2 linked regions of the Tribolium castaneum genome follow. The protein of the gene in region 1 interacts with the protein of each later gene in a pairwise test. Links are inferred from orthologs where the notes say so. Each region holds a gene or a part of one and is shown on either strand. Other genes may lie near its edges. The genes, in order: CCDC53 and heat shock factor-binding protein 1.

What was found.
Region 2: the proteins of CCDC53 (region 1) and heat shock factor-binding protein 1 interact in a two-hybrid assay, tested with the Caenorhabditis elegans proteins (2 studies listed by BioGRID). The link is inferred for Tribolium castaneum from reciprocal best matches to the Caenorhabditis elegans genes ddl-1 and hsb-1.

Annotation. Positions count from the first base shown.
Region 1 is NC_087402.1:709,197-717,420, forward strand, and holds CCDC53 (WASH complex subunit 3), read right to left. Parts: upstream 4,727-8,224; 5' UTR 4,596-4,726; coding exon 4,545-4,595; intron 4,485-4,544; coding exon 4,320-4,484; intron 4,249-4,319; coding exon 4,010-4,248; intron 3,960-4,009; coding exon 3,917-3,959; 3' UTR 3,837-3,916; coding exon of another isoform or gene 3,699-3,836; 3' UTR 3,653-3,698; coding exon of another isoform or gene 3,479-3,652; 3' UTR 3,311-3,478; coding exon of another isoform or gene 3,308-3,310; 3' UTR 2,596-3,307; coding exon of another isoform or gene 2,491-2,595; 3' UTR 2,490-2,490; downstream 1-2,489. Other genes in the region: acidic leucine-rich nuclear phosphoprotein 32 family member B, read right to left, coding at 17-78, 131-290, 2,491-2,595; RpL36A (large ribosomal subunit protein eL42), read left to right, coding at 3,308-3,310, 3,479-3,652, 3,699-3,836. UniProt on the Caenorhabditis elegans protein: Acts as a component of the WASH core complex that functions as a nucleation-promoting factor (NPF) at the surface of endosomes, where it recruits and activates the Arp2/3 complex to induce actin polymerization, playing a key role in the fission of tubules that serve as transport intermediates during endosome sorting.
Region 2 is NC_087398.1:4,659,682-4,666,177, forward strand, and holds heat shock factor-binding protein 1, read right to left. Parts: upstream 3,308-6,496; 5' UTR 3,190-3,307; coding exon 3,094-3,189; intron 3,041-3,093; coding exon 2,885-3,040; 3' UTR 2,795-2,884; downstream 1-2,794. Other genes in the region: uncharacterized protein LOC655683, read left to right, coding at 403-1,053; Fam92 (CBY1-interacting BAR domain-containing protein 1), read left to right, coding at 1,251-1,282, 1,680-2,091, 2,137-2,361, 2,409-2,441, 2,494-2,784; Eogt (EGF domain-specific O-linked N-acetylglucosamine transferase), read left to right, coding at 4,438-5,116, 5,168-5,777, 5,826-5,928, 6,328-6,492.

The sequences.
Region 1 (8,224 bases):
GCGACCACCTGCTCCATTATGCGTCGTCTTCCTCTTCGTCTACCCCTTCTTCACCCTCTACATCCTCCTCGTCATCGTCTAAACAAAACACGCATTAACAACTACTATAAAATTTTATCACCGAAAATACCATCGCCTTCCAGCTCCTCGTCGTCGCCTTCAGGGAGCTCTTCTTCATCGTCGTCTTCCTCTCCTTCAACACCCTCCTCCTCCTCTTCATCCAGCTCTTCGCCCTCGGAACCCGCACCGTTCTCCTCTTTTCGCGCCTTTTTTACCTCCTCCGTTTTTTCCTACAATCAAACATTGTCTTACGACACAAGCTTCTGATAACACAGCGAGTGGCGAAATCATTTTTTAGTGGAGTTATCATTTGTTTTCGCCGTAAAAAAATTACTAATATTGTGCCAACGTCTGAATTAAATTAGATATTACATTATGAAACTGAAATTTTCAGTTATCTTGAATCAGATCGTGTTGCGCACAGAATTAACGACCCAATTAAAACTTAATTTACTGTTACTCTAACATATTCGAGCGGTAATGGACAACAATTAAAAATGTAGTTTTATGAATTTTCTGTTCGGTTCTTCAACCTAGCATCACTGTAAACAAGCGCGCTGTCTCAGATAAGGTTAGTTTAGTAAATAAATTATGGTAACAACATTATACTCGTTTCTTTACTTATAAATGTAAGAACACGTATCGTATTTTTTTTTAATTTGACACACTTGCATTTGAAAATGCGAACTAAAGACGAGTTAAAATATGCAACAAGTGCTCGTGTATTGAAAAATAACAATGCTGGGAGGTGCATTTATGACTAAAGTGTGATGTTTTGTATGTAATTTTACTTTAATATTCTTTGTGAAGACTCAGGCTTTATCGCTGTTGTCTCTTAACAGCAAACAAAAAGCAGTCATTAGTTTTTTTCTTTAAGTAATACAGTCGAACTTTGATAAGTCGTTCTTCGATAACTCAAATAACTGACTTCCGTAGTATGAAAGCAACAAAATCCTAATATTTTTTATTTTATAACTCGAACAGACAAACTTTTCCTTAACATTTACTCGTTGTTTGTCTTAAAACGACATAAGAAATAATACATATTTGTATTTATAAATAAAGAAAAAAATATTTTTACTTAAGAATAACACTTACACAAAAATTTTGGACAGTCAACAGAAATAGATTACAACATTGTTAAGAAATCATTGGAGCAACTGTGATAAACAAAAATTCGCATGAAACAGTGTTGTAAAAATAGAACTAAATAAATTATTCTCGAAATCACGAACTAAATAGAAAAAGACCTAAGTAATTATAAAAGAATGTGAGAGATATCTTATAAGGAAGTTATACAATTTTTTCATAAAAAGTTACTTCTCCTCAAATTTTACAGTTGTTTATTTACCGTCAAATTAATTTTTTGTTGAAAAATATACTGCTTATTAAAACTTTTTTTTTCAATTTTCTTGCCGACAGCCGAGTCACTGAAGTTTCACTGTATAATTTTTTTCAAATTGAAATTAGAAAAGTGGTAAACATTAATTTCTAACTCGAAAGTATATTTCTACTGTGGCACAAGGTTAAATATAATAAAGATGACAATTCTTGATAATTATAATAAAATAAAGTTTGCAATTTTTGTAAACAATTTGATGTCGGGTGAATTTTTGCAAAACCGTTCGATAATCTCGTTTGATAAGAAAAACAATTAATAAAGTTTAATACAATACAAAAATAAATTCAAATGCGTCAAGGACAATGGCGGGAAAATTTCTCCGAGAAATAAAATACGTCAGATCAGAAAATCGCCAAGTGGGCCGCGGAAAGCATGGCTACCACGACTTGCTCGAGAAAATGGAAATAAACAAGCAAACTAACTAAAAACGCTCTTTTCATTCACAATTCTGATCCATGATGGATCTTAATCTTTGCCACTCGTTAGCGTAGCATCAAAAATGTCCAACTCTGTTGATTCCAGCGAGCTTTATGAGACGCTTTGCATTGAAAAACCGGACCAAAGTGGTCAATCTCCGGGTTATCGTGAAATTTGCAACGAAATCGTCAACTCGCACGCGGAAATCTTTCTAGAATCCGATGTTATTAAAATATTAGTGTGGCATCTAGCCTCGCACGAGGACGCCTCCAAGTTGCTATTGATTTCGCCATATTGAATCGAGCAAGCGATGCTAGCCTCAACCCGGGGTCCATTGTATATGGCGGGATGCTTTCCAAGCGTGTTTACACCGCATGCCATAATGAAAAACAGTCGAAAACACCATGGCAACAACAAATTTAGCATCGTATTGTCGCAAAGCCGCCTCCGCGCCGGGAAAAAGCCCCGTTCACATGGCAACCATCCCGCGGAAAACGCGTGAAAACGGCGTTTCCGCGCGTTTTCCACGCGAAAATCCCGACCACAACATCCAACGGCCATGTGACCTTATCGCAAAGCAGCGTAAATGCGAAAGAAACAGTCGAACTCACCTCCGCCGCTCGCTTCGTGCCTTTTAACTCGCATTTGGCGTCGGGCGCACTTTTGTCGTTGTCGATTTTTTCGACAGCAACTTCGTTATTTTCTTTCGAACTCATTTTGTTTATATTCCTGTGTGGGTTTCACGCTTTATCGAAAAGTGACGTTCACCAACGTTGAACACTACTGACCGGCTACTCGTTAGCTTTGTTCAAAAATTAAGATGGCGCCGCTCAAACCGATCGGCCCCGGACTTGGACGAGTGACCGGCTTTCGACTCCCTAAACTATTTATTCACACCAACCGCCAAAAACCAAAAGACAACAAATTCCAAGCTTTTTCGGTGTCTCGGACCCAAAAAACGTGCGCCAGATTTTATGAAATTAATTGCAAGGTGTTTGCTCATGAGGGTTCCGAGAGCACGGATTGAGTTTTACGAACCGGACCGAGATTAAAAACGTGGTTTGAGTATGCCACCGCCAGGGGCGCTCTTCAAAAAATTTCCCTCCACAATCACATTCATTTTATTATTATGCAGAAAAACAGCCGATTATTGACTCAATTTAAAAGGGAACTATTCGGCACGACTTGTTACCCACTAATTAAAACGCCTTTCCCTTGTGGCCGCAAAAATGCGTCTTAAAAACTTTTTCTTCTATTTTTCCTTGCGACCACGTGAAACGAATTAAAACTCTATAAACTTATAACGAAACACTTTTCTATCTTTCATCCAATATAGCAATTCAAAATTCGCGCCAATGTAAACGACGCATGCGCATAGTGTGACACGTTGCATCTCTCTCTTTTTTTTGCAATAAAGAAAATCCCAAGATGGTAAGCAGGTTTTCAATCAAATATCTCAAAAAATCGCAATAATCGGCCTTTGAATTACCGAAAATTTAGCGAATTCGTGCATTTGGCGTCCTTGGAAGGGCACATTCCTGTTTATTTTCGCGTTTTGAGGACGTTTGATGAATTGTGGGGTTATGTCATTGTTTTTAGGTTAACGTCCCGAAGCAGAGGCGCACCTTCTGCAAGAAATGCAAGGTGCACAAGTTGCACAAAGTCACCCAATACAAAAAGTCCAAGGAACGTCACGCTTCGCAAGGTAGGAGACGTTACGACAGGAAGCAGCAAGGTTTCGGTGGACAAACCAAGCCCATCTTCAGGAAGAAGGTATTTTTTTACCTACTTTGAGTGTGGGGCTATTGTGTGTTTTTAGGCTAAAACCACCAAGAAAATCGTGCTCAGGATGGAATGCACTGAATGTAAATATAGGAAACAGATTCCCTTGAAACGCTGCAAGCACTTTGAATTGGGTGGCGACAAGAAGCGCAAGGGACAAATGATTCAGTTCTAATTGTTTGACTAAATAAACACATTTTGTAAAAATTCATAACGTGTTTTATTTATACTTTTAACAATGTTTTTTTAACACAATTAATTAACCGAGGAACTGTCTTGCGTATCAGTTGATTTGGAACTAAAAAATAACGGACGTGTTGCTGATTCGCCAGTGATAGTAGTACTTACTCCAATATGCAAGGGTCAAGTCCCTCTGTTTGCATTTTCAGCTTGACAGCAGCTGGGGGAACCCCAAATTGCAACATTTTGAAAAAGCGTTGATATCGCGGGTCTGACGCAACATCAGGCTCTACCTCTACATTTTTTTCAATTTGCGTCTCCTCGTCTTTAACAGGAGGCAGATCTAAATCGTTTTGTTTAGGCGAGTCCTTTGCAGTGTTTTCTTCTAAATGCGCAATTGAACCTAACTAACACAACCGACTCACTTTTGCGCCAAATAATCGGAACTTAAGGCATTCTAGCATTGTTCAATACTTACTTGCGACTCAAGTATAAGTAAAGAAGCCTCAACTTCTTGCAGTTTGTACTCGAATTCCATCAAACGCGATTCACACGACTGTGCAAAATGGTTTAAAAACGACACCGTATTCATTACGAAATGATTGATAAAAGCAATCGTGCGCTTTTGTTGAATGGGTAAAATCTAAGTGGAGAAGTTGGACGTGATTGTTGCTCGAATGGGTCGCTTTTTTCAAAGACTTACCTGCGTGTAATCCACATTTGGATCAATTGAGGAAAGGTCGTTCACTTGCATTATTTACATTATCTGAGTGAAAAACACTCAAAATTAGGGGGAATCAAGGCATCGGCACAAGTTTATTGAATTAATTGGCTCCAAAGGGACACAAAGAACCTGAGTGACAGCTGTCAAAAGTGACGTTTGAGGTTAGATTGTGGCGAAAGGATCGCTTTTTATGCAATTAACAAACGCAAACACGCTCAATAAAACAGATTTATTATGCCAGATTTATAAAATAACATTGCATCTTGTAAAATATAAAAACAATCACAGTATAAATAAACTTGATATAGACTAAACTACAAACCTTAACAATTTTATAAGAAAACTATCATTGAATTTAGGGCGGTACACAGTACTGTTATATTTAATGTCAAATATTGAACTCGCTTTTGCATTACTTAGACTTAAGTAATGGTGGTTTCATGGAGCACCCTTGTACATATCACTAGCTTGGCAAATATTATCTAGCGCGCTATTGGCCAATCGCGTTAAACTATCAGTCATATTCGGCTCCTGGCGCCCCTCACTCTCGTCCATAAGCGATAGATTTTGGGTGAAAGTCTCTGACAAGTTATTTGTCTCAAGCATGCTTAAATCACCCGAGTTTAAGTCAATCGGTTTCAACTCCAATTGTTGATTGTCCAGATTTAATAAACTGCTTATACCACTTGGCGTTTCACTTAAATTAACACCACTGAGATCATTTTGGGCGGAAGGATTCCAATTCATGTTTAACATATCGCCGACTACTGAAGTCGAAGGCATATTCCAGTTCATCATGCCTCCGATTGGCGGAAGCACGTTCTGGAACAGAGGGGCTTCCGGGGGCGTGGGGGCCACGTAATGGGGCGACACGTTCGGGATGGGCGCCTCGAACATCTGCCCGCCGTACGGCGAAGGCGCCTTATCTAGAAAAAAACACTAAAGCGGGGAAAAATATAAAATTAAATTACCTCTGGGCTCGACTTTAATGCCTTCGGATGGAATGTTGAGTAGGAAGGGTTGGTGCGTCCCTAACAAAAAATCATTAATAAATTGGCCAAATCACAAATTAACTTAAAATCACGCAAAACTACTAAACAAACCAATTGTTAGCCAACATAAGCTCAACCAATTAATAAAACAAAACAAGTTATAAGAAAAAATCATGCAAAACATTCATGTACCTTAATTCCGGTGACAGTTGGCTGCAGCTTATGACGCAATGAAAGACTGTTTACTTGTAAAAAACTTTAATACTTCAGCTGATATAAAGATATAAAGCCTTTAGAAAACACTAACAATCTACCTTTAAACTTTCCAAACAATTGAACATCAACACACTTAAAATTGTATAACTTTGTGTAATAATTCCGATCACAGCCCCATTGATGGATGGGGGATTTCGATTTTGGGCGTAATAGGCGACATATCGCGGCTTTTTAATTTAAAAAAAGGTTAAAAAATTCAAATATAAGACATGAGCACTGTCAGTGTCACTTTTAACGAGCTAAAAATATACCTAGAGTAGGCTGTAACGCGAAATTTGACACATCAGTGACAGTTTTAATGTCAGATTATGACATAAAAGCAAGACCGCTCTAGATAAAATAACTTTTTCAAATGATTTTCGAAGAATTAACTTACAAAAAAAGCAAAAAAAAAAACAGAAACATAAATAATAAACATTGTGACATTAGCACGTCAAATTTGAATTGCCAAACTGACGTATAAATAGTTCCCTGTCCATCAGAGAGTTGTGATTGTAATAAACAATAAAATAACAGTGACTAAATAACTATGACTAGTAATAAAACATTTCAATAAACAAGTTTCGTCGTAATAAAGTAAAACAATCTCATTGGCTGAATTCGGCCAATCAGTTTTGAGCAAAATGACCCACCACCAAAAAATGGAAAAAAACTTACTTTGTTTGTCACTTTCCTCAACATGTCTTAACAATTGGCTTGGGTCATGATACTTTTGCCTCTTTCGCTTAAGCATACCCGGCTCTAAAAACACATCAGATAAATAAAAAAACACAAAATAAATCAATCAAACAAAAAAAAAACAAGAAACAAATCACGTTTTTGACGTTAATCGCGCCAACATTTCACTATTCGTTAAAATTTTCCCGCCTTCAACCGGTGCATAATAACAGGACATTTCGTCAAACTCGCTCTGGGTGGCATGTGGGGCCATTGCCGTGTACAGAGCGTAATGTTCGGCCTCTGTCAAGTCTAAATTCAGATTCAAGTCGCTAGTTGGGGGGCTGTCTTTCAGCGGAATTCGCACACTTGTGGCCGAACTCGTGGAGATATTGCCGGCGCTTTGCCCCAACAGCCCCGAGGGACTTAAACTAGTCTCGCGGGAAGTCCCCGGAGTTTTACTCTTCCGGCCGAAGAGTTTCGAAAAAATCCCCTTTTTCTTGGGGTTGGGTAACGTGGAGCTGGGGGTGGGGGGCAGTTTCGCCGGCAGCGCCACCTCTTGTGACTTGGGCCGATTCAAGTTGAACGAATGCGAACGAGTGACTCCGACTGGTTTCGATATTTCGTTAATGCTTTGCATCGAGTTGCCGATGAAAGTTTCGATCTTTTTCGAACGTTTTGGCGGAAGTGGCGGCTTTTCGGCCTCGATTTCGCGCTTGTTGCGCGTTGTTGTGTCAATTATCTCCATTTCTGGTTCGGTTTCGGTGATTTCGACCGGGTTTTTGAACGCTAGTTGCAGACTTGAGTAGGTCTTGCCGTCATCAAAAGACTCATTCTGGGGGAAGTCCTCCAGTTGGGGCTTTTCCACATCGCTTAAAGCGTCGTTTAGGAGCCGAGCTTGTGTTTCGGAATAAATCTCGTCAAGCTCGGCTACTTGATTTATCAACTCATTGAACGATTTTTCTTCCGTACTTTTGGGTTTCTCGATTTTCGAGTAGTCGTTGTTGTTGGTTTCCATCACTTCGTTTTTTTCCTCGTCTATTTTTTTGATAATTTTTTCGGGTTTGGAAACATCGCTTGCAAGAAGCGTACTAAATAGGTTGTAGTTTCCTTTTTTCGCGTAATTTTTCCTAAGTGACCAATACAAAGGCCTACCTGAATCTAAGGGTAATAGTTCAAATGGAAGGGCTTCGCTGGTGGCGCCATCTGATGGTCGTCTCAATTGGATGAAAACTTTGACGGGTTCGGTGATGTCTAGAGTGTGGTAACGTGGGGCTTTGAAACAAATTGCCGTTTGTTTGTGGACTTGTGACGGTTGAAAGTCGCCAAAACCTTCCCAGACCACTTTTCCATTTTTTTCTTCGAAAAAACGGACCTGGATGTCTTCTTTAGCGACCTAAAAGTGAATTAATTTTGGTCACAGTGTGCTGTGACTTCACAAATCTACATAACTATCAACATAGCGAACAAGATTGTTTATTTTGCAAAATTTCGTTACATACAGCTGATAAGATAATTAACGAAATTAAGCAAAAAAAAGTTTAGAAAAAAAAATGTTTGAACGTTTTAATTTTTTTTAGCTAAGAATGCAATAAATTAAAAGAAAAATGGTGTTGAATTTGTTCCTTAAAAATTCGCCAAAAATGAAAATTTGACAAAACTGATGTTATGTTAGCCTATTTTTCTCGGTTTAGTTCGTTTTTGTTAAAAATAAACCAAAAATTCAACAAAAAT
Region 2 (6,496 bases), on another chromosome or scaffold:
ATTTGCTCGAATACAATTTCACGATTTGCAGATAAGTCCAAATCCTGTTTTTATATCAATAATCGTCCTCTAAAGATATGGAGAAGACTTTTTTCATTTGATAACTTTCAATGGCTATCTTAAGAAATAGAGATGAAACCATATTTCGTATTTGCGAACGATTTGCTGCTCTACTTGGTCCACAATTTATTTTAATACATGTTAAGTAATAACCTGATAACGTTGAAAAAATATGAAATTTCAGTTTTTATTCCTTAAATTTGCGCCGAAGTGATCAACAAAATTTGATAGTAACAATAGTTACAAAATTTATTTTGCTGTAAAAATCAATTTTTGTCCGGGCAAAATTTTGTGTCTGGTCACCCTCACAGGGTAGTCTAAACGGGGGCAATGTGTGTGCAGGTCAGCTGCGGGCTGCGCCACTCAGCGATGCTCAACAAGGACGGTGGTCTTCTAGTCGCAGGCACGGGCAGCAAGGGCCAGCTGGGCCTTGGCGATAACTTTGATGACAACAACTACCTGAGTATATCCAAAGTTCCGGACTTAGAGGACATAGTGAGCATAGCGAGTGGCCAGCACCACACCGTGGTCCTGAAGGAGGACGGCACCGTGTACAGCTGGGGCGAGAACAAGTACGGGCAGTTGGGCATTGACCCCAACATCTCGAACAGTTTCGTCCCGATGGAGATCCTCCATGACGCCAATCTCGGCTCCGTGTACGCGGGCTGGACACACACGGCGGCCCTCTCCAAGTCGGGCGAGGTCTTCACCTGGGGGCGCAACAGCTACGGCCAGTTGGGGGCCCAGAGGGAGGTCACCTACAAGCCGGAGAAGATCCCCGGACTTAAGGACGTCACACAGTTGAGCGTCGGCTCCGAACATAATCTAGCCGTTACCAAAGATGGGAAATTGTTCGTTTGGGGGTGGAATGAGCACGGGAGCTGCGGAACCGGTGATAAAACCGACGTCTGCAAGCCCACGCAGATTTTCGCTAATAGAAAAGTCAAGGCGGCTTTTGCTTGTACCGGTAGTTCTTTCGCTGTTGTCGAATAGCAATAATTAATTCTCTTTTTGATGTGCATAAGTATTTTTATAAAGAATTATTATTAATTGAATTATTGTATTCCGTATTTTTATAATAAAAATGTGTTGCATGATTCCATGACGGCGTTTTATTTAGCCATGTTGGCACAACCGTTTGTTTGTGAGTGGTTGCCCTTAGAAACGCAAATAAAAACAATTCAACAATAATGTTGAACACGTTCCGGGCGCGGAATAATTGGTAAATATTTATTACTTTACAATTTTTCAAGATAAATATTTGTGCAAATTTGTTTTGAAGCGCAATTTATCGTAATAATCAGTTTAAATTCTCCTTAAGTCAGCTAGACAAAGACAGTCAATTGGTTCACAATTAGTTTGACTGAGACGAGTTGAGTAATCGGAAGTCAAAGTACTTGAATTTGATATCAAAAACACTAAACAAACGTACCAAAATAACTTTATCTCGTTTATCTTAAATTGAGATTGCAATTTTACAAGAAAATCGGCTTGGGAGGTTATTTATTCATTAATCCTCGGTAGTATAGTGGTCAGTATCCCCGCCTGTCACGCGGGAGACCGGGGTTCGATTCCCCGCCGGGGAGACTTTTTTTTCATTTTTTCTTTATTGAATTTAGCGAACAGGAGGCTAAATTCGTCCAAGACCGTATTGTCTCAGTCGAGCGAACAATCGGTGAATTATGCCACGTTTTCGGGCAGTATTCCCGGAAAGCGGCCCGTCTGAGAGACAAAGGGGACGAAATTGCCAAAGTCACGCTCGAACACGCTGAAGCGGAACAACTAAACCGATCTCTAAGCCTAGCTTTGGAGAATTTTGCCGACTGTATCTCGCTTTTGAGTTCTTACGGCGACCTCAGAGTCCAGAATTTGGACAGTAAAGTGATTAAAGAGTTTGCACGCTATGAGGACATTTGTAAACATGCCAAAGACGAAGTTAAGCAAATTTACAACGCTAGGGAGAAAGAAATTGCGAGGAAAAGACAGCTGGATCGGATTAAAGAACGCAATCCGAGGAATAGGCAACAAATTGTTAGGGAAATCATTTCAGAATTTGTAATAAGTGAGAAATTGTAGATCCAAGCTGAGACCGAGTTAGTAAAGGCGAGTGCCGAGTTTTCGAAGACTTTGCGTAACTTGGAGGAAAAAAGCACGGAGTTTGAGAGACAAAAACTGCACGATGTTAAGTCGATTTTGCTCGACTTTGTTGCGATAGAAATGGGGTACCACGCCCGGGCTCTGGAGGTCTTGACCAATGCCTACAAAGCTGTGAATTCGATGGACGAAGAGGCCGACTTACAGGTAAGTAAACTCGCTTAAATAAAAAAATAAACCAATACGTTGGACAGGACTTTCAAAAAACTAGTGGAAAGGTGGAGGCGGTAATAATTGACTCGGGTTTTTTATTTTATTTCTTGTTTTTTAAAATTGCAGGAGTTTAAAAAGTCGCTGCGGCGCCCGGACAGTTCACGCAACGTGGGTTCGCGCAGTCTTTTTCGCTCTAGCAATTCGCTGGGTTCCCTCAAGGGTCTTTTTACCCCCAATAACAAAAAACCAGAGGGGATTCCCAGAAAAGCGTCCAAAAGTGAGGAAACGCTCGACTCCATGAAACGGAGCATTTCCGACACTGAGGACAGCCTCAGCGACAGTGCGAACGTCTCTGAGAATGTTTCCGACACTGAGGAGCCCTCGTCCCCCATCAGACCGCGGAAGCCGCGCAAATGAAACATTCGCATGCTTAGTTCTAATTTATTAATAAAACGGTTCAATGGTACATTAATTAATTTAGGACTTAAACAACTATCAATTCAGTGGTACTCGAGTTTTACTTATCCGCCCCCTCAACTCCCGCTTGAGTCATCAGATCGCCGATATTTTTCTCCAAATCGTCGATCCGGTTGCCCATTTCATCTATTCTGGTTAAAATTTGATCGGACATGTTTTGAAATTTGTCTTGGATGGTTTGCAACAGCCCCTGAACCTGTTTTTTGATAGAATTGTAAAATTTTGACGTGTGAGGTTATGACAACTTACGTATTGGGTTAATTCTTGGACATTTTTCGGGTCGTTGGTGTTTGTGGCGGTGAAGGATTCACAGTCGTTGTTCATTTCGACTTTATCGTCCACCATACTGAGGAAAATGCTAGATTTTGCTCAAATAAAACGGAAAATGTTTAATCGAAAAACGTCACTCTTTGTACCAGGCGCGGTGGGGATGTTGACTGATTTTTTTGAGTTTGCGTGTGTAGACTGTTGATTTTTATTATGCACGCAGGGGTAACAAGGGGGACATGCACCCCAACGGGGCTGAACGAACACAAGGAAATTTAAAAAGTGAAAAAAGAGTATCAAAACCGGTGAAATGGATTAGATACTTTTAAAAATTTAAAGAATAGAAATTGGCAGAGTTTATTCATATTGGATTTCTCGATGATTTTTCTTTCAAAAAATATTTAAAAAAATCGAAAAAAGTAAATGTGGGACGGTTATGCCATTACCATTAAAACCAAAGTAACTAAACATATAAAAAGTCCCTAAAAATATTTTTATCTTTGCATTTTTTTGTGTCCATTATTTACATATTTGTACTTTAAAATAATGTCTTCAGACAGTTCCGAAGACGAAGACTTGGATAAATTACGCGAAGCCGCCGACAGCCAGCTGTTAAATAACGCCTTATACAACAAAACCGAACGTAAGCTGAAAGTGAGGTTACATCACTATTTTAATTTAAATTATTAGCGAAATTGGAGGAACCCCCGAACACGAAACCACAGTCATTACGCCGTAGCAAGGACGAGGACGAGCAATTTAATCTGTTCCGTGTATCCCCAGAATTCCAAAATTACGTCGCCAAGCATTTGTCTCAAATCCTCGATAAATTGTTAAAAGAAAGACTCGAAACGAAAAACTACGAAAATTACGTGAAACCAAAACGACGGAAAAGTGGGATCAAATTACTTCGTGATTCAGTGCATTGCATAAGTGTAAAAACAAGAGACGTTGCGCCACAGGTGAAAAAAAGGCAAGTTGAGGAGGACGAAAGCGACAACGAGGCTAAATTTCGAGCTGTGGCCGTAAGTGCTGACGATATTTTAAGCAAAAAAGACACAAAACACTGGTCTACACGTAGCAAAGCGCCCGTTTATGCCTATTACAAAACGCAGCAAGGCCTTATCCTTAAATAAATAAAGTTTCGTTCATTTTTTAATGTATTTTACCGTTCAATTCCACTTTTTTGTTGAAATAAATTCAAAAAAAAATTTTTCTTGGTTGGTAGCGCTGACCATTAACCTCAACCTTCGAAAGCTAACCTCAAAACCGTGCCAATGAGTTTTCCTCGCCTAATTCGCTTATTTTAGTGTTAAAAACTCCACAATGTTCGCATTTTTTACGTTATTTTTAACCGCGGCCACCGTAACGTATTGTGATAACTTTTCCAGTATTAACCTCCCCGATTCTCACTTACCATATTACTTCACTAACTTTCCCAAAATCAGGGAAAAGTGCGACAAAGACCCACAATGCCCTTACAAAACCTCTCTAAACAGCCCCAAATGCTGGGGCTACGAATACAACTGTCTGGAATCGGAGCGCTTTTCAGCGCCCCGATGCCCAGGCGACCACAAAGGCTGGGTCAAGTCCAAGTCCGACCAAATTAACACTTTTTACACCCAAGCCGATTTCGGCTTTGTTAAGCAACAATTGCGCGAGATGAAACTGCTCTGTGAGCCCCTTTTCGCCGACGATAGTTCTCTCGAGTGTTCGGAACATTTGCGCTTTTGTCGGGGGCGCAACCTCATGATCAACTTCACCGATTTGCGGACGCGCGAGGACCCAATCAGGTACAAAATGGACGTTTTAAAAGACGGCCAAATTGGGGGCTACTGCGACTTTAAACAAGCGGCACTGGAGGAGCAGACGGACCACTTGAGCCCCTTGCAGAGCTGGGCCCCCGAAATGAGGTACTTCGCTAGGCTTGCGCGTAGGCCGATAGTCGAAGGCGATTGCGATGTAGTGATAGAGAAACCCACGTTTATTATGAAAATTGACGCTAGTACGTGGCCGTAAAATTGGGGCCCGATTTTGACGCAAGTTTTGCTTTTAGCGGTGAATATGTACCACCATTTCTGCGATTTTCTCAATCTTTATGCTTCAATACATTTGAATTCGACCCAATGGGACGCTTTCTCGACCGATGTTCACGTGTTGATTTGGGAGACTTACACGTACAGGTCGGCGTTCGGGGACACCTGGGAGGCTTTCACCGATCATCCCGTTTGGGATTTGAAGACTTTTAGGGGCGAAACCGTGTGTTTTAAGAACGTGGTGTTCCCCCTTTTGCCTCGCATGATTTTCGGGCTGTATTACAACACCCCGATTATCTACGGGTGTGAGAACAGCGGCCTGTTTCAAGCCTTCTCCCAACATATTTTACACCGACTCAAAATCCCCTTTCACCCTCGGAACAATAGGAAAATTAGAATTACGCTTCTTGCCCGCGATACGAAATATCGCAGGATTTTGAACGAGGACGAACTTGTTGAAGCCTTGGCGAAAAATCATGACTATGAAGTGCAAAAAGTTGTCTACAATAAGGACGTTCCGTTCAAGAAACAGTTAGAGATTACGCGGAATTCCGATGTTTTAATTGGGGTACATGGGGCTGGCTTGACGCATTTATTGTTTTTACCGGACTGGGCGGCTGTTTTTGAATTGTAATTCGTTTGAGTTGGGTGGAAATTAGTGTAATTGAGGGGTTTTAGGTACAACTGTGAAGATGCGAACTGTTATTTCGATCTGGCAAGGTTAAGGGGGCTCAAGTATGTCACGTGGGAGAAACTGGATAAACTAAAGTCACAGGAGGATGTAAGAATTTAATTTACTTAATTATAATTCGAATTATAACGACGCTAATGCTTTCAATTAAATTTACAATTGATTACAAAGAGTTACAAATAATTCAATGTCGCCAATTTATTTTAAAAATTAATTAGAAATTTAATTTAGACATCTTTGAATCACGGGCGACGACTACAATTTTTATATGCGATTTTTATTGAAAAAAAAAAATTAGCAAAAAGAGTTTATTGAAAGTTACGACTCAACGAAAATACATTCAACCCAGTGCCAAAAAATTATTTGAGACCAAATATAGAATTTTTTAATTTCTAACGACACATTTTTTATTCATATTGGTTTATTACAAGAGTGGATTTTTCTTCAACTCATTTTTTCATTAAAATTAAATTGTAAAACAATTTTTAGGGAACTCATGATGGTGGGGCTCACGCCAAATTCGCCAATTACTCTTTCGACGTAAAAGAGTTTTTACGATTAGTTGCAAAGGCAGCAAAACACGTTGAAAACCATCCCGATTTTAAAAATTTAATTTCCAAACTTGATAATGAAATGGACCATGACGAACTGTAATTTA